Macaca fascicularis: one gene and its partners. The protein of the gene in region 1 interacts with the protein of each later gene in a pairwise test. Links are inferred from orthologs where the notes say so. Each region holds a gene or a part of one and is shown in the gene's direction. Other genes may lie near its edges.

What was found. The genes of interacting proteins can lie anywhere in the genome.
Region 2: the proteins of STAC3 (region 1) and FAM133A interact in binary tests that used the Homo sapiens proteins (3 or more experiments, as listed by UniProt). The two-hybrid records come from large-scale screens. The link is inferred for Macaca fascicularis from reciprocal best matches to the Homo sapiens genes STAC3 and FAM133A.
Region 3: the proteins of STAC3 (region 1) and PPARA interact in a two-hybrid assay, tested with the Homo sapiens proteins (2 studies listed by BioGRID). The two-hybrid records come from large-scale screens. The link is inferred for Macaca fascicularis from reciprocal best matches to the Homo sapiens genes STAC3 and PPARA.
Region 4: the proteins of STAC3 (region 1) and L3MBTL2 interact in binary tests that used the Homo sapiens proteins (3 or more experiments, as listed by UniProt). The two-hybrid records come from large-scale screens. The link is inferred for Macaca fascicularis from reciprocal best matches to the Homo sapiens genes STAC3 and L3MBTL2.

The regions. Positions count from the first base shown.
Region 1 is NC_088385.1:64,046,083-64,051,476, reverse strand, and holds part of STAC3 (SH3 and cysteine-rich domain-containing protein 3), read left to right. Parts: intron 1-193; coding exon 194-291; intron 292-806; coding exon 807-879; intron 880-1,774; coding exon 1,775-1,872; intron 1,873-4,397; coding exon 4,398-4,464; intron 4,465-4,643; coding exon 4,644-4,693; intron 4,694-4,986; coding exon 4,987-5,072; intron 5,073-5,242; coding exon 5,243-5,294; intron 5,295-5,383; coding exon 5,384-5,394. UniProt on the Homo sapiens protein: Required for normal excitation-contraction coupling in skeletal muscle and for normal muscle contraction in response to membrane depolarization. Required for normal Ca(2+) release from the sarcplasmic reticulum, which ultimately leads to muscle contraction.
Region 2 is NC_088395.1:100,195,373-100,202,103, forward strand, and holds the start of FAM133A (protein FAM133A), read left to right. Parts: upstream 1-2,751; 5' UTR 2,752-3,232; intron 3,233-3,459; exon of another isoform or gene 3,460-3,715; intron 3,716-4,122; 5' UTR 4,123-4,195; intron 4,196-6,731. Other genes in the region: NAP1L3 (nucleosome assembly protein 1-like 3), read right to left, coding at 1,222-2,751.
Region 3 is NC_088384.1:5,401,881-5,408,619, reverse strand, and holds the start of PPARA (peroxisome proliferator-activated receptor alpha), read left to right. Parts: upstream 1-2,721; 5' UTR 2,722-2,941; coding exon 2,942-2,944; intron 2,945-6,739. UniProt on the Homo sapiens protein: Ligand-activated transcription factor. Key regulator of lipid metabolism. Activated by the endogenous ligand 1-palmitoyl-2-oleoyl-sn-glycerol-3-phosphocholine (16:0/18:1-GPC). Activated by oleylethanolamide, a naturally occurring lipid that regulates satiety.
Region 4 is NC_088384.1:10,405,795-10,412,311, reverse strand, and holds the start of L3MBTL2 (lethal(3)malignant brain tumor-like protein 2), read left to right. Parts: upstream 1-2,499; 5' UTR 2,500-2,514; coding exon 2,515-2,690; intron 2,691-6,517. UniProt on the Homo sapiens protein: Putative Polycomb group (PcG) protein. PcG proteins maintain the transcriptionally repressive state of genes, probably via a modification of chromatin, rendering it heritably changed in its expressibility.

The DNA.
Region 1 (5,394 bases):
GAGGTTGGGGAGAGGGCATACGAGAGGAGTATTTGTAGCAGATGGGCTGTGGCTAGAGTTGGTGTAAGGCAATGCTGTTAGACATTGAGCAAGTAAGGTCCCAGACAGAAAAGGGAACCTAAGAGTAGCAGCAGTGGTACAAAGGGAAAGGGCAATCTGGAATCTTATCTGAATTTTCTCCCCCTCTCCCAAGTCAACAACAAGTTTGGGCTTCGCTGTAAGAACTGCAAAACCAACATCCATGAACACTGTCAGTCCTATGTGGAAATGCAGAGATGCTTCGGCAAGATCGTGAGTAGGCTCTGGGGAACAAGGTGTAGAAAAGAGGTGACATGGCCGGGCACAGTGGCTCACACCTGTAATCCCAGCACTTTGGGAGGCCGAGGCAGGCGGATCACGAGGTCAGGAGATGGAGACCATCCTGGTTAACACAGTGAAACCCTGTCTCTACTAAAAAATACAAAAAATTAGCCAGACGTGGTGGCGGGCACCTGTAGTCCCAGCTACTCGGGAGGCTGAGGCAGGAGAATGGTGTGAACCCGGGAGGCGGAGCTTGCAGTGAGCTGAGATTGCACCACTGCACTCCAGCCTGGGCGACAGAGCGAGACTCCATCTCAAAAAAAAAAGAAAGGAGGAGACATGTCACCAGCTACCCCTTGCTGGTCCCTCCTCCATCCCATTCATTTCTCTGCTTTTTCTTTCTCAGCCCATCTCTTTTTCTGAGAAAGGGTGAGCACTCATGGGAGAGATGGGCTTCTGGACCTTACTTTGCTACCTCTAATGCTTCCTCCCATCCCATCCTACAGCCGCCTGGTTTCCGTCGGGCCTATAGTTCCCCACTCTACAGCAACCAGCAGTACGCTTGTATCAAAGATCTCTGTAAGTGCCCTTTATGGAACATGAGGGAATGGGCAAGCCTAGAGATGGTTTCATGCCATCTCTAGCTTTGGAAGCCAAATTCTGAAACAGAAACTTTCTATTTCCCATAATTCTCCCTCAACCTAACATTTTTATATCCATTTGGATGCAGAGGCAATATCCCCATTTTACAGCAGAGGGAGATAAGATTTAGTTGCAACTACATACAGTTAGCAAGAGGTAGCGCCAAGACTGGAATCTTCAGTTGCTAGCTTCAGAATCTGTGCTCTTCATGTGCAAAATCATTTCTAAGCAAGAACAAGGATTCTAGATTGTCCTCATCCTTACTACAGAGTCATACCAGACTTGGGGCAAGACCCAAAGGCTGCAGGCACCCTGGGCATGTTCATAATTTGGCAACCCTTAAAAGTATATTCATTGACAAATTTGCTCAACATTTATTTGGAGCAGAGGCTGAACTCTGTGAAGAGCATGGGTGAAAAAGAAGAACCTATTGGTGGCAGCACCTCAGCTTACACATGCCATTCAGCAGAACAAAAACCAGAAGTTAAGGGCCCATTCTCCTTAGAAGGAGAATAGTGATTCTGAGCATGTCTCAACTCCCAAGCAACCAAAGTTGTCTTTCAAACGTCATATAATGCTCTGCCTGGAAGGAGTTCTGATAAATACTTTTCTCCCTCACATTACATCACCAGTGATGTTTTTAGAGTCCTTTCTAGATCGGTGTCCTAGGTATTGCTCAGCTGACCCTTCCCTAATCTTCCCCCACGGCGCCCCCACTGCCACCCAGCACACACATGGGTATCCATCTACTCGATCCTGCCTTTCGCTTCCTTTCCTCCAAGCCTTTCTCTGCCTCCCCAATAATGTCTTCTTTCTCCTCCAATTTGATTAGCTGCTGCCAATCGCAATGACCCTGTGTTTGAAACCCTGCGCACTGGGGTGATCATGGCAAACAAGGAACGGAAGAAGGGACAGGCAGATAAAAAAAATGTGAGCACTGTACCTCCCCACGAGGTCCCTCCCAGAGATCCCATGGAGCAGGTCATTTTCCCATTTGGGAAGCTGACAGAAGTAATGGATTATCTTCCCCTAAAATTGCACATAACCCGACCAGGCATGGTGGCTCATGCCTGTAATCCCAGCACTTTGGAAGGCCAGGGCGGGTGGATCATGAAGCCAGGAGATCAAGACCATCCTGGCCAACATGGTGAAACCTCGTCTTTACTAAAAATACAAAAATTAGCCAGGCATGGTTGTGTGTAATCCCAGCTACTCGGGAGGCTGAGGCAAGAGAATCACTTGAACCCAGGAGGCGGAGGTTGCAGTGAGCTGAAATCACACCACTGCACTCTAGCCTGGGTGACAGAGCAAGACTCCATCTCAAAAAAAAAAAAAAAAAAAGGCCGGGTGAGGTGGCTCATGCCTGTAATCCCAGCACTTTGGGAGGCCAAGGCGGGTGGATTACCTGAGGTCAGGAGTTTGAGACCAGCCTGGCCAACATGGTGAAACCCCGTCTCCACTAAAAATACAAAAATTAGCCAGGTGTGGTAGCACACGCCTGTAATCCCAGCTACTTGGGAGGCTGAGGCAGGAGAATTGCTTGAGCCCAGGAGGCGGAGGTTGCAGTGAGCCGAGATCGTGCCACTGCACGCCAGCCTAGCCGACAGAGTGAGATTCTGTCTTAAAAAAAAAAAAAAGAAAAGAAAAAGAAAAAAAAAATTGCACATAACCCAACAGAAATATTTTTGCATGCAATTTTAGGGGGTTTTGGGACCTACTGCAGCTCACTCACCATGGGCCTCTGGTTAAGAACTCTAGCCATAGATTACGTTTTCTCAGCTTCCTTCTGAAATAGTCAGATTAGCCACTACAACCACATGAAGGCTAGGCCCAAAGTCTTTGGCATTGCTGGGTGACAGAGGCAAGAGCTGTGCTTTTGGATGTAGGAAAGAGAACTTGTCATGCCAAGTAACTGGAGAATTCTAGAGCCATGCAAGGATCCATGAAGATCATCTGGTCTGACCCATTCATTTTACAGATGATGAAACTGAGGCACAAAGCTACTGGCCAAGATAAACCTCATTTCCTTTTGTAACAGGGTTTCTAGGTTAGTAATGCCATAGATTTGCATTCAGTTCAGCATGGAATTTGTTAGAATATTCTTATATCTTTCTGGACAACCAGGATTGGACCAGTATGGATGATGGTTACAGTTAGATGGACTCCTAAAATTGGTTGAGTGGCAGTACTCAGAGTCCAGGTCCTTTCAGTATTATACAGCTAGAGGGAGATTTCTGGTGCGTTATAACATGATTTAGATATAATGAAGATACAAATTGTATGTTCATGCCAGGTGCGGTGGCTCACGCCTGTAATCCCAACACTTTGGGACGCCAAGGTGGGCAGATTACTTGAGGTCAGGAGTTCGAAACCTGCCTGGCCAACATGGTGAAACCCTGTCTCTACTGAAAACACACACACACACACACACTATATATATATATATATATATCTCCAGGGCGTGGTGGCACTCACTTATAATCCCAGCTACTTGGGAGGCTGAGGCAGGAGAATCGCTTGAACCCGGGAGGCAGAGGTTGCAGTGAGCCACTGCACTTCACACTTCAGCCTGAGGGAGAAAGCAAGATCTTGTCTCAAAAAAAAAAAAAAAAAAAGAAAAGAAAAGATAAATGTACATATTTGTTCTTGATCAAAAAATCACCTGCAAAAAACAGAACTAGAAATCTGGCCTCAGACTTGTTGATATGGAGGTTGGGCACAGATAAGGGATTTCTATGGAGTGAATTCTGACTTACAAGGCACTAGCAGTGTGATTTGGCTGCTTCCAGAAGGGCTAACATACTCTTGGGTTATATTCTTTTAAGGGAATTATAAAAATTGTGCTGCTCTTTTTTTTTTTTTTTTTTTTTTTGACGGAGTTTCGCTGTTGTTGCCCAGGCTGGAGTGCAATGGCATGATCTTGGCTCACCACAAACTCCGCCTCCCAGAGTCAAGTAATTATCCTGCCTCAACCTCCCAAGTAGCTGGGATTACAGGCATGCGCCACCACGCCTGGCTAATCTTGTATTTTTAGTAGAGAGGAGGTTTCTCCATGTTGGTCAGGCTGGTCTCGAACTCCCGACCTCAGGTGATCCGCCCACCTCAGCCTCCCAAAGTGCTGGGATTACAGGTGTAAGCCACCGCGCCTGGCCATGCTGCTCATTTTTTACTTACACACTGGAGTATTTTTAAAGGCTGACAGCATAGTCAAGGACCTGGAATCTGGTAGTGAATTCCCTGTCATTTAGCTACATTCAAGCAGAATGTGGGTGACCCACCTGATAGGATGTTTTAGAGAAAGTTCGTGCATTAAGCAGAGGGCTGGGCTAGATATTTCCTCCAAGGCCTCTTCCAACCCTGAGATCCCATTACTCTGTAGTTCTCTGACCTGATTATAGAGAGCCAGGGCATGGGTTCCCAAGACAGCGTCTCCCTAACTCTGGTGCCCCCTCCAGCCTCTAGCAGCCATGATGGAGGAGGAGCCAGAGTCGGCCAGACCAGAGGAAGGCAAACCCCAGGATGGTGAGTGTCACCCACCTCCATCCAGAGATGGAGTAGGATTAGAGGCTCAGCTGTGGCACAGAGGGTGGAGGAGCAAAGGGCAGGCCAGCTTTGGATAGATGAGGCCTTTCCACAGAAGGGTAAGAGAATAAGAATTGACCTCCAGGAGACAGACAATTTGTTGGTGTTTCCTATCCCAGGAAACCCTGAAGGGGATAAGAAGGCTGAGAAGAAGACACCTGATGACAAGGTAAGAATCTTTCCTCCCTGCAAGGACCCCAGTCCTCTCCCCAACCCAGCTCTGACACCACCACTCATGGCCCTGGCGGAAGCTCACTCTTTAACTCCTAGGCTTCCCATCACCCTTGACCTACTCTCTCCATCACCTTGCACACCCACCCACAACCAAAACACTTCTCTCAGTTCGGGGACCTAGAAGAGAGTTGGAGTGTAGAGTGTGTGGTGAATGTCCCTGCCTTGGAATCCTGCCCCTCAGTGTGGGGTAGAGGAGCCCTAAGACTCATCATTCCCTTTCACCCCCAGCACAAGCAGCCTGGCTTCCAGCAGTCTCATTACTTTGTGGCTCTCTATCGGTTCAAAGCCCTGGAGAAGGACGATCTGGATTTCCCGTGAGAGGCCTTGGGGCAGGGGGCTGGTACTGTGGAGTGAAGAGGAAAGAGCTGGGTTCCCCCAAGGGAAAGGAAAAAGGGGGACTCAGGGCTTGGAGCCTATTGATGCTGGACCAGGGGCACAGAAGGGGACCTGCTATGTGAGTGAGGCCTCTCTTTTCCCCTCTCAGGCCAGGAGAGAAGATCACAGTCATTGATGACTCCAATGAAGAATGGTGGCGGGTGAGAAAAATGGCTAGGGCTAGGATGGAGTGTGGGTTGAGTCACGAACCCGACATTGAGAGATGGACTCTCCCTACTATCTTCCCTAGGGGAAAATCGG
Region 2 (6,731 bases), on another chromosome or scaffold:
TCCCTTTCCCTTTTTCACCTTTCTTCTCCATCCCTCCTTTTTCCCTCCTCCCTTACCCACCTTCCTCCCTTTCCCTTTTTCACCTCTCTCTTCTTTCTCCTCCACCCCTCCTTTCTCCCTCCTCCCTTACCCATCCCCACCCTCTTCTACCTTTCCCTTCCTTTCCCTCCATGCCCTGTTCCTTCTCCTTGTCCCATTGCTCTCCAAAATCTTGAATGAGTGTCCTCCAACAGAAAAGCTAAGATGTGGGAAATACATCAGAATGTTAATAATAGTTATCTTTTTATTAAATTGTCCCCTTCCTTGTGATCCTCTACTTTTTTCTATGATAAGCATCCCTCTTTTATAGTCAGGAGAAAAGGCTAGATTTTCATAGTATAACACACTTTAATATTTATTTATTTTAAGTTGCAATAAAAGAACATGAAAAACAGTATCAAATGAAGTGATCATTTTCAGTGAAAGGGAAGGTAGAACATAATACAAAGAAAACATGGTATCTTCAGTTTACAATTACACAATATAAGATGAAGAAACTTTTTAAAAAATACTATGTCATATTAACACCTCAGTGGTAAACAGTAACATCATTATCATTAAATTTATAGGCCACTATATGTCACATACACAAGGTCTCAGTTGAATCAAATGTGGTCTTGACATTCTTAAATGTATGCTAATCTTTTTCAAGCAGTCAAACTTCAAAATACACTGTTTTAGTTACTATAAGTACTGGATTTCTATAGCAAACTAATGAAGGCACAGCTAGTGCAAGCAGATTTAAACGCTTAGTCTTCTGGGCTGGAAAAAAGAAAAAAATAAAGCACTTGCATTGGTACTTCATGAACTTTTTTTTTTCAAGCAAATATTTGTTTCAGTTAACAATTGTGACAGTTTCACAGCTACAGTCTAACAGAAACATGACCAAAGGACATCACAAAAATCAACACTGTAGCACCAAACTAACATGCTTTAGATAATTGACCACAGCTTACATATTTTGAAGAATATTATACTACAACAGTCTAGATAGAATAAACTGGCGCTTAGACACTTTTTAGGACAATTTTTAAAATACAGACTACCAAGAAACCACAAAAACATGACTATAAGGAATAAGAGTGTTCAGGTTACAGGTCAGGGTTTTACTTTTTTCAAGGCTGTATGAATCTGCTTCACTTCTTGAGATTTTAAGATTCTTGAAAGATCTTTCAGATTGACTTATTTTCTGTATTTCCTGTTTCCATAATGTTTGCCAAATTGATAGTAGGTACCATTGACTTCTCCAGTATAGTAATAGATTGATTTCAGGATGACATTATCATGTAAAATCTGCCCAATTTCAAAATCCTCATCCAGGATAGCATCTTCTCGTGGTTCCAGCTTCCCAATCATAGGAATCTCAGGAGGACTAAAGAAATTGAAGAATGATGCATTAGGAACCACTCTTGGCTGGATTTCAATTTCTCCAGTAGCAGTTGTGCGACTCTGAGTAGTTGTCACAGTAACATCTTTTCCTCTTCTCCAGTCTATCTTGCAGCCTTTGCAATCTTCAATTTCCCATCCCCAAGAAAAGAAGGGATCATTGTGATCTGGTTTTGACTTTATTATATATGTCTTCACCAGCACCTCATTTCTGAAGTATGGATTGGGTAGAAAATGAAATTCAAAGGTGTAACTTACAGGCTGGCCAGGTTTTGAGAACTTCAGGCTAACATCCGACAAGAACTTCAGAATGGGCTCATCATACTTCTGAATCATAGGCCCGAGCTTGTCAACATTCTTTAAAACAATCAGCCAATAGTCAGGAATGCCTTTAGGGTCTTCTCTTTTAGGCTTTCCCCTCCTAGCTCTTTTAAGATCTACACTGTCCTGAAGCCTTTCCTCAGGAACTCTTTTATGAGCCTCTCTTACTGCAGCCCTTGCCTTAGCCTCTGTTGCTTTAGGCTGTTCTTTATCATCTGCCTTTACCTGGGGGGCTTCTTTAGGATCTTCTTTTACTTCAGGGGTTGCCTCCATACAGTCTGCTTTAGAATCTGCTTTTTCTTCAGCCTTTATCTCAGGGATTTCTTTAGGAACTTCCTTTTCTTCATCTTTTACCTCAGGAATTTCTTTAGGAACTTCCTTCTCTTCAGCTTTCACCTCTGGGTTTTCTTTAGGGGTTTCTTCTTCCTCACCCTCTAAGGGAGGCATTTCACTAGGGGTGTTATCCTGCACCTCCTCATCACTGCTGAACTCCTCATCCTCTGAATTCCATTCACATTCTTCTTCTGTAGGCTCGTATTCTGCATTGATGATTTGAAACCGCCTATCATATAGAGGCTTGTTGAGTTCAGCATATTTTCTTTCAAGATCATGAATTGCTTTTAAGAACAGGGTGTCTACCTTGTCACATTCTTCTTGAATGTTTCTAAGCGCTTGCACACGATTTCTAACTGCCTGAGGCAGCCTATCCACGAAATTTGTTCCCAAGGGGGCCCGCCGCGCCCTGCTGGAAGGCTCAGGTACCCTCTTCTTTCTATATAAGCGGCTGCGGCTGCTAGTGCTGCCGCTGCTGCTGCTGCTGCCGCTGCCGCTGCTGCTGCTGCTGCTGCCGCTACTGCTGCTGCCGCTGCTGCTGCCACTAGTGCTGCTGCTAGAGCTACTGCTGTCAGATTCTTCCCCAGAATCACTAGTCGAGCTAGCCATCTCCTCTTCGGCAACCCCATGGGCGACGGGTTCCGAGACCATTTTAAAATCTGCTTCTGCCATCTTGCAAGCCTGAAAAACTCTACCGCGGAGACCGCGCGACCAGAGATGGGCAGAAAATGACTCACGGATGCTTGAGTGGCGGCGGCGGAGGCCCGGGCTGCGGAGGTGGCAGCGGCGATGGCAGCAGCGGCGCAGAGCGGAGCTGGAGCTGGGGATGCAGAGGCCGGCGCTGAGGTGGCAGCGGCAGTGGAGGCCTGGGCGACAGCGGTGGCGGCAAGGCCTCTCCCGGCTGCAGCTACACAGTGCCGAGATGTACCGCAGCCGAATGGCGCAGTATGAGACCCCGAGATCTCTTCTCGTTTTAGATCGCGAGCCCCCTCCCCTCGCAGTCAGACCTCCCGTTAATTTCGTTCCCAGTGTGCCTTTAGTTCGCTCCTCATTTGCTGGTCCACCTTAATTGACAAACCGTACGCCCAACGAACGGCCAAACGCCACTACTCCTGGCTCCGCCCACCTTCCCAGACGCTGCTCGCCGGCTGAGGTGCGACCCCCTGGAAGGTGTCCCCGAGCCCCCCAAAAAGTCTATATTTATAGTTTTATAATTAAAAGAGGAAAAAAAAGCGTAGACATGAGGTAAAAATACCAGCCATAGTTCCTAACAAGGGCAGAAGAGGCGTGTCTTCCTTCTCCCATCCGCCCATCCTGAATTCCCGTTTAGTTTGTCACGGGTCTCTTGACAAAAATCTGTAAAAGAAAAAAAAAAAAATTGAATGAAAATGGTCCAAATGGCGTCATTGGGTAGTGTGACTGTGGACGATTTAAAAACAAAACGATTTTCTCTAAATATTCTATGAGCAGTATTTTTACACTGGATAAAAAAGGGGAGAGTCGGTTATTGGCAGAGGGGGGAGGGACTAGACAGCAGGCGTATTGCATTCCACGAAGCTGATTTAATAAGTGCTGTCTGTGATGTTTGGCAAGCCTGGTTTATATCCATCTACAAGGTTTGCGAACCCATGTTGCCGTGAGTCAGTTACACCATTTTTATTATATTTCTCTTTTTAGGCTGGCATATTATATACCCCAACCTTGCTGCTAACTTGCCACGTAGCCCTTCTCAATGCTTGCAACAACCTTGTAGATAAAACAAAGAGTGTATTAAATGTTAGGTAGTATTGTTAAAAAGCAAATGATTTGCGTTATACTTTTGTGCAGCAGGTTTCAATTCCAAGAACAGTGGGATGGGAGGGGGAATTTGTGCTAATGAATGTGCATCTTCTGTCAGTGTATGCGATGTCATCTGCCACCAATTTCCTTCTAATGTTGTAAAATTCTAGCCATACTATAGTATGATTTACAAGTCCAGTAATATGTGAATAAACTTTTGCAAAATGAAGTTTAAAAACGGGTATTTGTTATTTTTATTTACAGGATTTTTTTTTTCTGCTACAGAACAACTACCTTGGTACAATAAAAAAGACGAGTATTTACTTTTCATTGAAAGGTAAGGATCATATTTAGCACATTTTAAAGAATGACAAAAATTACTCATCTCCATCTGAATAAAAGTTTACAGGATGCAGTCATTTAGAGATTTATTTTAGATAATAATCTTGATAATTCTATGGAAACAGGAAAATCCACAGAGGTAATTTGGCATACTAATGTAGACAATAGCCTACTTAACCACATTAACTATCTTAACCTGGTCATAGAATACAAGTTGTAAATTAAAATATGAAATATGATAAATTATTCATTTCAAATGAGGAACTGTATTAAAGTTAGATTAATCTTTATAGAATTTGTGCTTTGTCATGTAGTCACGTTTTTAAAAGTTATGAAATGCTTTTCTGTCTCATAAATGCATTTACTTTTATTGCATATCTCTAATTGTCAAAGTCTGTGAACATTGCAAAGATAAAACCTCAATACAGAAAATTCCAACAGTAGTAAAAACACACAATCTTAACCACCAAATGATAAGAATTACTAGCATTTTGATGCACTTCCTTCTAGAAATTTCCTTGTGCATATACATACCTGCCTATTTATGTATACTGCTTTATCTATGTGATACCATATTATGTTTTGTAGTCTTTTCATTTAATTTATCAGTTACTAATGGCTATATTTTCATGGCAAATGATCAACATCTTATTTTTAAATAAGTGCATATTCCATGGAAATAATTGCCTTAATTTATTTGAACAGATTCCTCTTATAGGGTGGCTATTTCTATACCATCTCTCCCCTTATATACATACTATTTTCCTGCTATAATAAAAGTGTCCCTGGATACCTAAAGCATATATTTCTATGCACTTCTGAAAATTGGTCATAAGATAAATTCCTAGAAATGAATGGCCTGGGAATGATCATTTCATATTATGGAATTATTATTGTATACATATTGCCAAACTCTCTGCAGAATGATTATCACAATTTACAGTTCCAACAGTGCATAAAGGTTCATTTTTTTTGTCATTCAGCTAATATATTTTTGTGCCTGTCGTATGCTGGGCAAATGTGGTAGAGAATTGTAGTATAATGGTGAATGAAACTTACTAAGTGCATATCCTTTCGATGAATAATTTTAATCAAAGCATATGTTATAGAAACAATGATTTACATCAATGGTGTTATACCATAAATATTGTTCTGAGACTCACTATTTCTTTTTAAATTATGGAGATTTTACAAAAAGTATGCTCTTATGTTTTAAACTTTGTAGCATCAGGAATTAGTATTTTAGAGTGAGTCATGAGGTAGGGATCCAGATTTTTAAAATACTTATTTTTATTAGCTAGCTAATTCTTCTAGTACCATTTATTTGGTAATCTTTCTATCTCCTGCTTACTTGAAATGCTACTTTGATCACATTAAATAAATTGCTTGGGTCTGTTTCTAAATTATTTTCTGATCCATTAGTTGCAAACAACTAATGAGTCGGTGTTAAGATAACTTTACATTTTGTGAAAATGATATGTGTTCATTGATAAAGTCAGACAATACATTGAAATACAAAGAAGAAATTAAAAGTAACTCAAAATAAAACTGAGAAGTAATCACTACTTACATTTACATTTGTAATCAACATCTCCAAATTAATTTATCAATATTAGTATTTGTATTTCTTAGATTAGTGGTAAGATTGTGTTTTCATATGTTTATGTTTATTTGAGAACTGTCTATTCATATTTTTTGTTTTCTACTGAATTAAGCAAGAAGTTAATCAATGGTGAAATCCTAAAGGTAAAATGATTTTGGCCTTGACTTACTTAAGACAACTATGATTTCTTCAGGAAATAATGCATGATATTGGGCAAATGTGACTAAATTTCATATTAAAATTGGTTGGGTTTTTTTTGGGGGGATGCTTGGGGGTTTTTTTGGATGCTTTTCAAGGATTACGGATAACTACTTAACCACTCACACTGATCCTGGAAAAGTTTGGAATGGAACATGGAGATGAAAAATAGAAAAAAGCTTACAAAAACATCATATAAAAATAATGTATTAATCAACAATTGTGATTTTCAATTTGGAATTATTTTTTCCTAGATATAGGCAATGAAAATGTTGAAAGTAGATGATTTTTTCTAATCACAATTCTCTACTTTAATTGTGTATCCATAAGTATCTTGTAACACACTTTTATTTTTGTAGCTTTTTTTTGGTTGATTAGTTTATTTAATTTTATGTAGTAGGTATCTAAAATAAAATAAGCTTTTTCTTCATAATCAATTTAATTGCTGCATTATATCCTATTTGTTCTACTGTGAAATGTACATATTAGTTTTATCATATCATATACTTATTTTTCTTAATAAGGTTATATATAAATTATTTGCATAGTGATATGTTCTTTGTTCAATTACTAGATGATTTTTTTGTGGGAGGGCGGCTAAATGTTAATGCTTCTACATGAGATGATACATAACACAGAATCTGATAGTATACTCAGACTGAACATAGTACATTAACATCTGTTGATACCTCCCTTAATATGAATATACACACAATCCCTTCCACCACCC
Region 3 (6,739 bases), on another chromosome or scaffold:
TGCAACCTCTGCCTCCTGGGTTCAAGTGATTCTCGTGCCTCAGCCTACCAAGTAGCTGAGACTACAAGCATACGCCACCATGCCCAGCTAATTTTTGTATTTTTAGTAAAGATGGGATTTCGCCATGATGGCCAGGCTGGTCTCGAACTCCTGACCTCAGGTGATCCACCCACCTTGGCCTCCCAAAGTGTTGGGATTACAGGCATGAGCCACCACACTGGGCCCATAAAGCTGTTTTTTAAATGAAAAAAAGTTGGCTTGGAATAAGCACTAGAACTGGGGCCTTGGCTCTGAGATCCTCATCTGAGGATCCAGACTCTGGTGCCCCAATGCGGCGATGCTTACAGAAATGACTCCATCTGCTAAATGAGTAGACAGGTAATTCTCCACTGAACACACACTCGTTTAGCAGCATGAGCAGCAAGAGTTCAGGAAATCCTCATATTTCAATTTGTCATTAGTTTAAACTTCTAGTCTTTGCTTTAAAAACACATTAGAATAATACTACATTTTCCCTCATCTCTAAACTTTACTAAAGACTCCAACAGAGAGTTATATTCACTGAGAGGAGCATCTACTCAACACAGATAAACTGGGAAGGAAAAACAACAACTTGTGGGTAATTCAGAATCTGGATTATCCTGTCAGGCGCAATGGTTCATGCCTGTGGTCCCAGCACTTTGGGGGGCCAAGGAGGGCAGATCACTTGAGTTCATGAGTTTGAGACCAGCCTGGGCAACACAGTGAAACCCTGTCTATACAAAAAATAGAAAAATTAGCTGGGCGTGGTAGTGTGTGCCTGTAGTCCCAGTTACCCAGGAGGCTGAGGTGGGAGGATCACCTGAGCCTGGGAGGTCAATATTGCATTGAGCTGTGATTGCACCACGGCCCTCCAGCCTGAGTGAAAGAGTGAAACCCTGTCTCAAAAAAAAAAAAAAAAAAAAAAAAGCTAAATTATCAAATGTCTAGATCACTGATGGTTGGATGTAAAGTTGAGAAATGTGAGAAATGTTCACACTGGGAGATGACACACAGTAAACCACACAGAGGATTATAACGTGGTAGTTAGAAGCAGAAACTAGAGGCTTGCTGCCTGAGGTCAAAACCTGGTTCCAGTGGTTCTGTGCCCCAGGGCATGTTGTGGTAACCTGTCTGTGCTTCAGTTTTCTCATCTGTAAAGTAAACATAATGGTAATGCCTGCCTCATGGGGTTGCTGTTACCAGGAAGTGAGTTAATGCGCATTAGGTGCTTATTTATGACAGTTCCTGGCATATGATAAGGGCTCAAAAAGTGTTAGCTGGCACCACTATCATTATCAATATCTCTAATTTATTGCAGGGTTGGATCTGAAAAATGGCTGATGATGATTTGATGATGACTTCCTTGTTATAAACCAATAATATTGCAGTGCAAATTAAATACAAGCAACCTGTAACACACCACTGCAAGTTGGATGTCTAGAAAAGGTGCCATGAGTTACCTACTAAAACATCATAAGAAACCATGTTCACCAATAATTACCACAATAGGAGAGAAGTACCGAGTACCATGGGGAGACAGAGTCCAGAATCTCAGAGAGAGACACAGTTACCTTTTAGTTACACTAATGGGGAAAGCAGGAGCTTTGCTACCCTTGCACCTGATGGAGGGCCTCTCTGAATATCGGTCTATGGGGTCAGAAGCCAGTTTCCTCTCAGATTTAGAAGGTTTCCAACTGTTGTCTTTCACTTCCCATGTTGCTGTTGGGAAATCCAAAAGTATTCTATTCGGCTAGGCACGGTGGCTCTCACCTGTAATCTCAGCAATTTGGGAGGCCGAGGCAGGTGGGTTACCTGAGGTCAGGAGTTTGAGACCAGCCTGGCCAATATGGTGAAACCCCTTCTCTACAAAAAATACAAAAATTAGCCAGGTGTGGTGGTGCATGCCTGTAGTCCCAGCTACTGGGGAGGCTGAGGCATGAGAATTGCTTGAACCTGAGAGGCGGAGGTTGCAATGAGCTGAGATTATGTCACCGTACTCCAGCCTAAGTGACAGCAAGACTCCATCTCAAAAAAAAAAAAAAAAAAAAAGTTTTCTATTGGATCCTTTGTGTGCAACATGTTTTTCCCTCTCAGAAAGCTTGTAGGATCTTCTCTTTGTCTCCAGCATCGTCTGGAATTTCCCAGTGAGTGACCATCTGTGTGTGTGTATTCATTCATTCTGTTGAGCCCCTGGTGGGCCCTTGCAACCTGGAAATTCATGCCCATCGTTTCTGAGAAATTATCTTGAATGCATTGGTTGGTGGTTTCCCCTGCTCCGTGTTCTTGCTTCCTGCTCTTTGGAGCTCTTGTTACTTGGATGAGTTTGCCTCCTGGACTGGTCCTCTCTTACTTCTCTTGCTTCTCCCATGTTCCATTTGTTTTCACTCTACTTTCTGTGAGATCGGGGCCATTATCTTCCAACCCTTCTATTAGGTTTGCAATTGGTTTTGTAATCCCCTAGAAAAGTTCTTGTTCTCTGAATGTCTCTTTTGATAGCATACTGTTCCTTTTTCATGAGTGCAGTATGAGTACATGAGTCATGAGTACATGAGTCATGAGTACATGACTCTCATCAGAGCGTGCTAATGTCTCCCATTTCTCGTAACTTTCTAGAGTGAGGACCATTTGAACTTGGAGTGCCCTCATTTTAAAACTCTGTGGTTGACCCTGTTCCCCTCTTTTGTTGCTGCTTTTCACCAGACTTTGAAGAAGCCGAAGTACGTTCAGAACTTGTCTGCTCTGGCAAAAGACGATACTGTTGGCTTAATCTAAAAACTGAACAAGAAAGCTCAAGGAGAGAGGTTTAAAAATATACCATCTCTGGCCAGGCGCGGTGGCTCACATCTGTAATTCCGGCACTTTGGGAGGCTGAGGCGGGTGGATCACCTGAGGTCAGCAGTTCAAGACCAGCCTAACCAACATGGTAAAACCCCGTCTCTACTAAAAATACAAAAATCAGCCAGGTATGGTGGTGGCTGCCTGTAATGCCAGCTACTTGGGAGGCTGAGGCAGGAGAATCACTTGAACCCAGGAGGCAGAGGTTGCAGTAAGCTGAGATCATGCCACTACACTACAGCCTGGGCAACAAAGTGTGTCTCCGTCTCACAAAAAAAAAAAAAAAAAAAAAAGTATATCTATCTATCTATCTATCTATCTATCTATCTATCTATCTATCTCCATCTCTTATTCCTGAAACCATAAAACAAAACTAACCTTCAGCATATAGGACTATTGCAGAAGGGATTATCTTTCTACTTGGTTGGTTCCTCTTGGTCTTGAGGAAATTTTGACTTCCTTGAGTTGGTCCCTAGAAGTTAAAGGGAAAGGGCCTTTTCTCTTTCCTTTAAAACCAATGTGGCATATTTGTTGAGAATTTAGATACCACAGGATTGACAGTGTAGACTTACATTCGTAGACCGGATGCCATCGACCAACCTTGAATAATTTGCAGCACATTGCATCATTTTGTTTTAAGTAATACGAAGTCCTTGACATGTCCCAGACATTGTCTTGATTACTTGTGAGGTCTCACATAAGTCTAATTTTCCCCTTCCTCTGCGCTTTCTGGTTCAGCTCAATTTATTCAAGGGTGTATTTGTGTAACACACTTGAATAAGGTGTGGTCCTGCCTTTGTAGATGTTATAGTTTAAGAAGACCAGCTGGACAGGGAGAAGAGTGTGATTCAAGGATGAAGGCGTGGGCTGGGGGCTGGGAGAGCAAGGAGGGAGGAAGGAGCAGCACCATGTGCCCATTACTCTATAGACATCTCGAACCACCTGGCCATGTAGCTGTCATTAACCTTAGTTTACAGTTATTGAAACTGAGGTTCAGCCGGGTGTAGTGGCTCACGCCTGAACCCAGGAGGTGGAGGTTTCAGTGAGCCGAGATCACGCCACTGCACTCCAGGGTAGGCGAGAGAGCAAGACTCTGTCTCAAAAAAAAAAAAAAAAAAAAAAAAAGAAAGAAAGAAAAAAAAAGAAAAAAGAAAGAAACTGAGGTTCAAAGAAATGTACAGTGCTTTCCCCCTTATCCAAGGAGGATACATTCTAAGTCCCCACAGTGGATACCTGAAGCCTCAGATAGTATCAAACCCTATATATGCTATGTTTTTCCCTATATATGCATACCTATGATAAAGTTAATCTATAAATTAGGCACAGTAGGAGACTAACAACAATGATAATAAAATAGAACAATTATAACATACACTGTAACAAAAGGGTATCTTCCTCTCTCTCTCTCAGAATATCTTATTGTACTGTACTGGGGGTAACTAAAACCAAGGAAAGTGAAATCATGGATAAGGGATATCTACTGTATATGCTGGAGTTTTCAAGGTCATAGCACTGCCTTCCCCCGAGGTTGGCCTTGCAGCCTCTCTAGGCACTGCTGCTGCTGCTGCTGCTAAGAACTCCTATGAGGTGAACACTGTGAGCATCATCATTGCTTCTCAGCAGAAAAGACCCGGCTTACAGAGGCCAAGCCTTAGGTACCTTAAACACCTGTTTAAAGCTGAACTCATGGCCAGGTGCAGTGGCTCATGCCTGTAATCCCTTCTCTCCAAGCTCAAAACCTGCCCTCCTTCTCTTTATATTCCGAATTTCGTAGGTACCACCTCCTCTGCCCAGTGACCCAAGCCAGAGCATACATTCATCCTAGACTCTGTCCCAGGTCCCTGGTCCAGGCAGCTGCCAGTTGTCAGGGTCAGCTCTTCATCTCGCAGTCCTCCTGCCTCTTGTGTCAGTCCCCAGGGCTGTCATCATCTCTTATTGGGACAGTTACAACAGCCCCGTAAGGAGTTTTGCTGCTTCTAATCTTGTTCCCTTTGAGTCTGGATTCCTCCTTGCCATCCAGACAATCCTGATGCAAATCTGATCACGTCACACTTCCCCTCAATAGTTTTCCGTGGCTCCTCATTGTTTTAGGATGAAATTGAAACTCCTAAACATGGGGATTAACAGCGCACCATGATTGGCACTGCTGGCCTCTCCTACCTCTGCAGACTCACCTCTTGCCACTTCTCCCTTGAGGTGGATCAAAAATGATCACAAGTTCTTTGAGGCTCTTCCCATCAAGAGGTAGAGTTTGTTTCCCCACCCCTTGGATCTGGGCTTGCCTTGTGACTTGCTTTGACTCAGAGAATGTAACAGAAAGGACACTGCCTAACTTACAAATGAGGTCTACCTTAAGAGACCTTGCAGATTCCACATTCACCCTCTTGGAATGCTGCCACCATCTGAGAAGCCTGAGGTGGCCTCTGTGAGGATGAAAGACTTCACGGTGAGAAGTGCCTAACCAGCAGCCTGGCACCAGCCACCAGGCATATGGCTGAGGCCATCCAGCCATAGCTGAGCCACCAAATGACCACAGCTATGTGAATTATCCCAGGTCAGACCAGCAGAAGAGCCACCTGGCTGAGCTCAGCCGAATTTGCTGACCCACAGAATTGTGAACAAATAAAATGGTTGTAGTTATAAGCCATTAAGTTTCAGAGTTTGTTACACAGTAACATGTAACTGATATAACTCTTGGAGCCAGTTGTCCAGCCATTTTCAACCACTTATTCAATGATGTTTGGGGTCATATATGCAGATGTGCTGTTCCCTTTTCCTTGAAATGGTCGTTTCTCTCCTTTCTGTTGGGTTTTCCTATGGAATATCTAGTCAGCCTTTAGGATTCATCTTGGGTGTCCCTTCCTGTATGTAGGCTCCCTGGCCCTCCAGGATTCCCCTAGTAACAGCCCTCATCACGCTGCCTTTGCAACCATTTGCTTATTTGTACCTCTCACCTACTAGTTGGGCAAGTTACTCACCTCTGTCAACCTCTGCATTTTTCTTCTCTATAAATGGGACCAATAATACCTACCCTGCCCTGGCATGGATAGATTAAAGAAAAAAAAATACATGCAGCTGCCATTGAGGGCCTGGCCCAAGTGCGATGTTCAATAATATTATTTCTCCTTGTTTTCTTTCCTGTGCCAGTGCCACACCCCCCTGTCCCCATGCACTGGGGCTTGCATCCCTCAAAGCTAAGATTGCCTGTCTGTGGTCTCCAGTGTTAAGCACAGTCGTTAGCTCAGGTGCGTGCTCATGTGTTGCATGAAGTTCAAGCCTCAACCCTATAAAGTTGGCCTGCCATGTATCTGATATATTTCTGCTAAAACCCATTAGGCCTTCCTTGTTCTGAAATGTCATCGTTAGTTGTGTGTCACTTCAGTTTTGTAACTGGACAGGCCACTGCGTCCGGGCTGCTTCCTCGTCATCTGGCTGCTAAATGTTTCAACCTTACCCGCCTTGCTGTGTGTCCCATCCTGTATCAGGTTAGCGCTCTTGAGTGGTGAATACGAATTTCATTTTAGTTGACTTTTTATTCTTGTGGCAGGCCTCTCGGCTTACTCAAATTTGATTGCAACAGACACAAAATGTGTCCAAACTTGCAGCTTTTCTTCTCTTATTTTGATATCACCATCCACAAAGGTAAGATATTTTAAAACAACTACAAACTTTCTGAAAATTATAATGAAGTGCTGGGTTTTAAATGGAAGTCATGTAGTGTGAACTTCGTGTAAAGTCTGTAGGGAGTTTTCTTGGAAATGACTGGGAATATTCTTTTTGCACCTTTGAAGATAAAGGTGGAGGAGCTCACAGCTCTTGTGCCATGTTGGGCTTGTCACTCTTTTTTACGTGCCAAATTCCTTTGATTACAAAATTTTAAGTT
Region 4 (6,517 bases), on another chromosome or scaffold:
TTTGCACTTGCTGTTCCACCAATGTGGCCTTTGCACTTGCTGAACCAATCTTTCTTTTTCTTTTTTTTCACCACTATCTCATTCCAGAACATTTATTTATTTATTTATTTATTTATTTATTTATTTGAGATGGAGTCTTGCTCTGTTGCCCAGGCTGGAGTGTAGTGGCGCGATCTCAACTCACTGCAACCTCCGACTCCCTGGTTCAAACGATTCTCCTGCCTCAGCCTCCCAAGTAGCTGGGATTACAGGCACATGCCACCACGCCCAGCTAATTTTTGAATTTTTTTTTTTTTTTTTTGAGGCGGAGTTTCGCTCTGTCTCCCAGGCTGGAGTGCAGTGGCCGGATCTCAGCTCACTGCAAGCTCCGCCTCCCGGGTTTACGCCATTCTCCTGCCTCAGCCTCCCGAATAGCTGGGACTACAGGCGCCCGCCACCTCGCCCGGCTAGTTTTTTTTTGTATTTTTTAGTAGAGACGGGGTTTCACTATGTTAGCCAGGATGGTCTCGATCTCCTGACCTCGTGATCCGCCCATCTCGGCCTCCCAAAGTGCTGGGATTATAGGCTTGAGCCACCGAGCCCGGCCTAATTTTTGAATTTTTAATAGAGATGGGGTTCACCATCTTGGCCAGGCTGGTTAAGATCTCCTGACCTTGTGATCTTCCCACCTTGACCTCCCAAAGTGCTGGGATTACAGGGGTGAGCCACTGTGCCTGGCCAGGTCTATGAGTTTTAAAGATCACCTGTGTGGATTAAAGGTGAAGATTTAAAAAGGGTGACCATGGGAGGCGGAGGTTGCAATGAGCAGAGATCCCACTGCACTCCAGCCTGGATGACAGAGGGAGACTCCATCTCAATCAACCAATCAATCAATAAAAGAAAGAGGGCAGGGCGCGGTGGCTCATGCCTGCAATCCCAGCACTTTGAGAAGCCAAGACAGGTGGATCACTAGGTCAGGAGATTGAGACCATCCTGGCTAACACGGTGAAACTCCCTCTCTACTAAAAATACAAAAAATTAGCTGGCATGGTGGTGGGCACCTGTAATCTCAGCTACTTGGTAGGCTGAGGCAGGAGAATGGTGTGAACCCGGGAGGTGGAGCTTGCAGTGAGCCGAGATCGTGCCACTGCACTCCAGCCTGGGCAACAGAGCGAGACTCCGTCTCAAAAAAGAAAGAAAGAAAGAAAGAGAGAGAGAGAGGGAGGGAGGGAGGGAGGGAGGGAGGGAGGGAGGAAGGAAAGAAAGGGTGACCACTTGAAGGGCTGCTGAAATGGGCCGGTGGCTTGTATTAGAGTGGTAGTGGAGGAAATACAGGATATATTTTGGAGGTAGAAAAACCAACATGTTGGCAGCATGGATACAGGGGTTTAGGGTGGAAGGGGTTGAAGGAAAGAAAGACATCTAGGAAGAGTTTCACATCTCCATGGTGGACCTCAAATTTAGGCATATGTTTTGTATGTATTCAGCCTCCACATATTGCATTTAGAGTCTCAATTAATTCATTGGGACACAGCATAGCATAGGGAAGGAATTTGTACTAAATTTGGAATCCCTATCCTGTGTGATCTTGGAAAGTGCCTAAACCTGAAGAGCCACCACTTCCTCTTCTTTCAAATGGTGATAGGATGTGTAAGGGTTTGAAAAGATGTTTGCAAAGCTCCACAACAGCACCTAGAACTCAGGGTGTCTAAAGAGGTTGTGGGAAACCCTAACGGGATGAGGCAGAGAGCCTCAGATTCAAGGTTTTTACCCAGGAGGGAGTGGTGCATGAGGAAGGTTGCAAGATTTTGAGGAGGCTGGACACTTACAGCATTGAGAAAAAGAATATTCCAGTTTCAGCTGACGCGGTGGCTCACGCCTGTAATCCCAGCACTTTGGGAGGCTGAGGCGGGTGGATCATGAGGTCAGGAGTTCAAGACCAGCCTGGCCAAGATGGTGAAACCCCATCTCTACTAAGAAATACAAAACTTAGCCGGGCTTGGTGGCGGGCGCCTGTAATCCCAGCTACTTGGGAGGCTGAGGCGCGAGAATCGCTTGAACCCGGAAGGTGGAGGTTGCAGTGAACCAAGATCGCGCCACTGCACTCCAGCCTGGGCGACAGGGCAAGACTTCGTCTCAAGAAAACACACACACACACATACACACACAGTATTCCAGTTTCTTTCTTTTTTTTTCTTCTTTTCAATCTGGAGTATTTCAGTTTCTGCCTGAGTTGGAAATGAGTCCCTCTGCTATGCATCCCAGCAAAAGGACACCTTAAATACCTAACTCGGGAGAGTACGAGGTTATTCCTGGAGTCTGGAACAGTGACTATCATAGGTGCTCAGTAACCGTTTAGTGAATAACATCCCAATGAAGTCAAGAGGTTGGCGTAACTGGAACAGTCGGCGTGAGGCGCACCAGGTTTCCAGCGTTCCTGGTTTCCACGTCACTATGGTAACGTCCCACCCTGCACACCCAAGGCGAACTACAATTACCACAAGCGCCCGCGATTTCCCCGCCCAAAGGGAGAGAATGGCGCGAGCAAGCACGGAACCGGCTTTTCCTCCTTCCTGCAGCGTGATTGGCCCGCGGCTCAGGGAGGCGACCAATGAGTGCTCTCGTGGAGAGCGACGAGGCCAATATGGCTTCCTGCACCTGGTGACGCTTGGCGAAACTGAGGTCTCATGGAGAAGCCCCCGAGTATTGAGGTGAGAAGGAGAGGACTTAGCGTGACTTGGAAGGGGAACCCCGAGATCCTCGCTCCGTGGACCCTTCTTTAGGGCTTTTAGCGACGTCTGGAGGATGGAAGGTGGAAGGATGGATAAACTGAGATAGTTAAACTGAGCCAGGGCCAGAGGCGACTGGCGTTACTTTTTGCTCCTCTCCTGCTGGGGCCAATGTTCGGCGAGTTCAGGGAGGAACAGCCGTCCCTGGCCTGGGGGAAGGGGAACTAGGTTTAGGATGTGAGAGCTCCTGAATCGATTCTTTATCCTCATTGTCTCGTGGCCGTGTTCTTTAGGGCTTGTGAGGCCTGTTACATGAGGTGGGAAGTGAAGGGCGATTAACGTTGGGTGAACATCACTCCTTGTCTGTAACGTTCATGTGCATTATCTTCCAGTACCCTCACAGGAATTATTATTCTTTCGTCTTTGTCGTTCAAGCCACTGAGGCTTAGAGGTGGTGCGACGCCCCAGGAAGTTACCCCGGCTGGAAAGTGAAGGAGGTTGGCTCTAAGTCTGTCCGCCTCCGAAACTATCTGTTATGCTTTTCACATTGTACTGCAACCTGGAACCCACTCATCCCTTTTGTTTTTTCTTTCAGACGGAGTCTTGCTCTGTTGCCCAGGCTAGAGTGCAGTGGCCCGATCGCGGCTCACTGCAACCTCCGTCTCCGGGTTCAAGCAATTCTCCTGTCTCCGCCTCCCATGTAGCTGGGATTACAGGCATGCGCAACCACACCCGGCTAATTTTTATATTTTTAGTAGAGACGAGGTTTCACCATGTTGGTCAGACTGGTTTCGAACTCCTGACCTCAGGTGATCTGACTGCTTCGCCTCGACCTCCCAAAGTGCTGGGATTACAGGCGTGAGCCACTGCACCCCGCCTCATCCTTTAATCATTTGGTTTCTGGGCACTTTATATTTGTTTTAAGAGACGGGGTGTTCCTCTGTTGCCCTGGCTGGAGTGCAGTGGTTACTCACAGGCGTGATGACAACGCACTGCAGCCTCGAACTCTTGGGCGCAAGCAATCCTCACACCTCAACCTCCTAAGTAGCTGGGACTATAGGTGGTCTCTGTCACCCTGCCTGACAAGGGTACCTATATTTGAACTGTTTCCTTTCTAGCATATTTGCATGTATAGTTGCAAATATAAAGTGGAATAGCTCAAACATTCTGCAAGGGTAAAGGAAAATAATAATGTGGAGAATAATAGCATGTCACACTTTTAGAGCTGTTACTGACTGCTGGAAATAGAACTAGGCTTTACATATCTTAATCTTCATAAGAATTATCTAAAGAAAGCTTATTATCTCTCTTGTAATGATGAAGAACTGAGGGTAGCAAGATAAAATACGCACAAAATCACACAGTTAATAAATGTTAGAGCCAGGATTCAAACCTAGGCAAATCATAGTCTATGCTTTCAACCAGTAAAAGTTGGCAACGTTTATTGAGCACTTACTATATGCAAGTCACTATTCTGAGTGCTTTGCCTGTATTGTCTCTTACTTCTCCCCCAAATCCTTTTTTTTTTTTTTTTTTTTGAGACAGAGTTGCTCTCTATCACCCAGGCTGGAGTGCAGTGGTGCAGTCATAGCTCACTGCAGCCTTGACCTCCCTGGCTCAAGAGATCCTCCCACTTCAGCCTCCCTAACCACCACGCCCAGCTAATTTTTTCCAGTTTTTGTAGAGACAGGGTTTCCCTATGTTGCCCAGTCTGGTCTTGAACTCCAGGCTCAAGCAATCCTCCTGCCTCGGCCTCCCAAAGTGCTGCGATTACAGGCATGAGCCACTGTGGCCAGCCCCCAAACCCTGTGAAATAGGTGGTACTATCCTCATTGTACAGATGTGGAAACTGAAACACTGCAAAATTGACTTGCTGCAGGTCACACAGCAAGTAAGCACTAGAGATGGTATTTGAGCTCTTCACACCTTTTTTTTTTTTTCCCTTTGAGACAGCGTCTCCCTCTGTCATCTAGGCTGGAGTGCAATGATGTGACCATGATTCAGTACAGCCTTGACCTCCCAGGCTCAAGCTATCTTCCCACCTCAGCCTTCTGAGTAGCTAGAACTACAGGTGCATACCACCACCACCTGGCTTTTTTTTTTTCTTTTGAGACAGTATCTCACTCTCTTGCCCAGGCTGGATAGCAGTGGCATGGTTATGGCTCACTACCGCCTTCACCTCCCAGGCTCAAGCAATCCTTCCACCTCAGCTCCAAGGAGCTGGGAATACAGGCACATGCCACCACACCTGGCTAATTAATTTATTTTTATTTTTTTGAGACGGAGTCTGGCTGTCGCCCAGGATGGAGTGCAGTGGCACCATCTCGGCTCACTGCAAGCTCCGTCTCCCAGGTTCACGCCATTTTCCTGCCTCAGCCTCCTGAGTAGCTGGGACTACAGGCTCCCACCACCACGCCTGGTTAATTTTTTGTATTTTTTTTTTTTTTTTTTTTGAGACGGAGTCTCGCTGTGTTGCCCAGGCTGGAGTGCAGTGGCCGGATCTCAGCTCACTGCAAGCTCCGCCTCCCGGGTTTTTACGCCATTCTCCTGCCTCAGCCTCCCGAGTAGCCGGGACTACAGGCGCCCGCCACCTCGCCCGGCTAGTTTTTTTTCATATTTTTTAGTAGAGACGGGGTTTCACCGTGTTAGCCAGGATGGTCTCGAACTCCTGACCTCGTGATCCGCCCGTCTCGGCCTCCCAAAGTGCTGGGATTACAGGCTTGAGCCACCGCGCCCAGCTGAGTCAAATATTTTTATTTTATAGATGAGAAAATTGAAGCCCACAGAAGTTAAATGACTTGCTCAAGGCCCTATAGCTAGTTAGGATCAGAGCTGAATCTAGCGCTATAGTACACCCCAAGATGCCACAGTTATCTGTGTGTCATCTGCCTCTCCGATCCTCTTTGGAGCAGTCTGGGTCCCAAATTAACTTTTCTGTGACTTAAACTGTTTCTGAGTTGAGATCATTTTGATGTAATATTGAACACAGAAGACATTTCTTTTTTCTTTTTGAGACAGAGTCACTCTGTCGCGCAGGCTGGAGTACAGTGGTACGATCTTAGCTCACTGCAACCTTCGCCTCCCAGGTTCAAGCAGTTCTCTGCCTCAGCCTTCCAAGTACCTGGGATTACAGGCGCCTGCCACCACACCCGGCCAATTTTTGTATTTTTAGTAGAGACAGGGTTTCACCATCTTGGCCAGGTTGGTCTTGAACTCCTGACCTCGTGATCCACTCGCCTTGGCTTCCCAAAGTACTAGGATTTCAGGTATGGGCCACCATGCCCGGCTAAGAATTAATTTGTAATATATATCTTCTACCCCAGAAAGTCTTTGTAAAGTACCTTAGGATATTTCACTTTTTTTTTTTTTTTTGAGATAGAGTCTCGCTCTGTCACCTAGACTGGAGTGCAGTGGCACAATCTTGGCTCACTGCAGCCTCTGCCTCCTGGGTTTAAGCGATTCTTTGCGCCAGCCTCCCGAGTGACTGGGACTACAGGCACCCACTACCACACCTGGCTCATTTATTTTTTTGTATTTTTTAGTAGAGACAGGGTTTCACCGTCTTGGCCAGGCTGGTCTCGAACTCCTGACCTCAGGTGATCTGCCGGCCTCGGCCTCCCAAAGTGCTAGGATTACAGGCATGAGCCACTGCACCCGGCCCTCATTGTTACACAGTATTCTATTTGAACCATGTTAAAATATCATCATTTGGAAATCCACAGAGGAGCCTGGTGAATTCCTAACACATATTTTCTGTCTTGTTAAGCTGTTGTATTGCATCATGGTGGAGAAATGTGGAAATAGGAGTA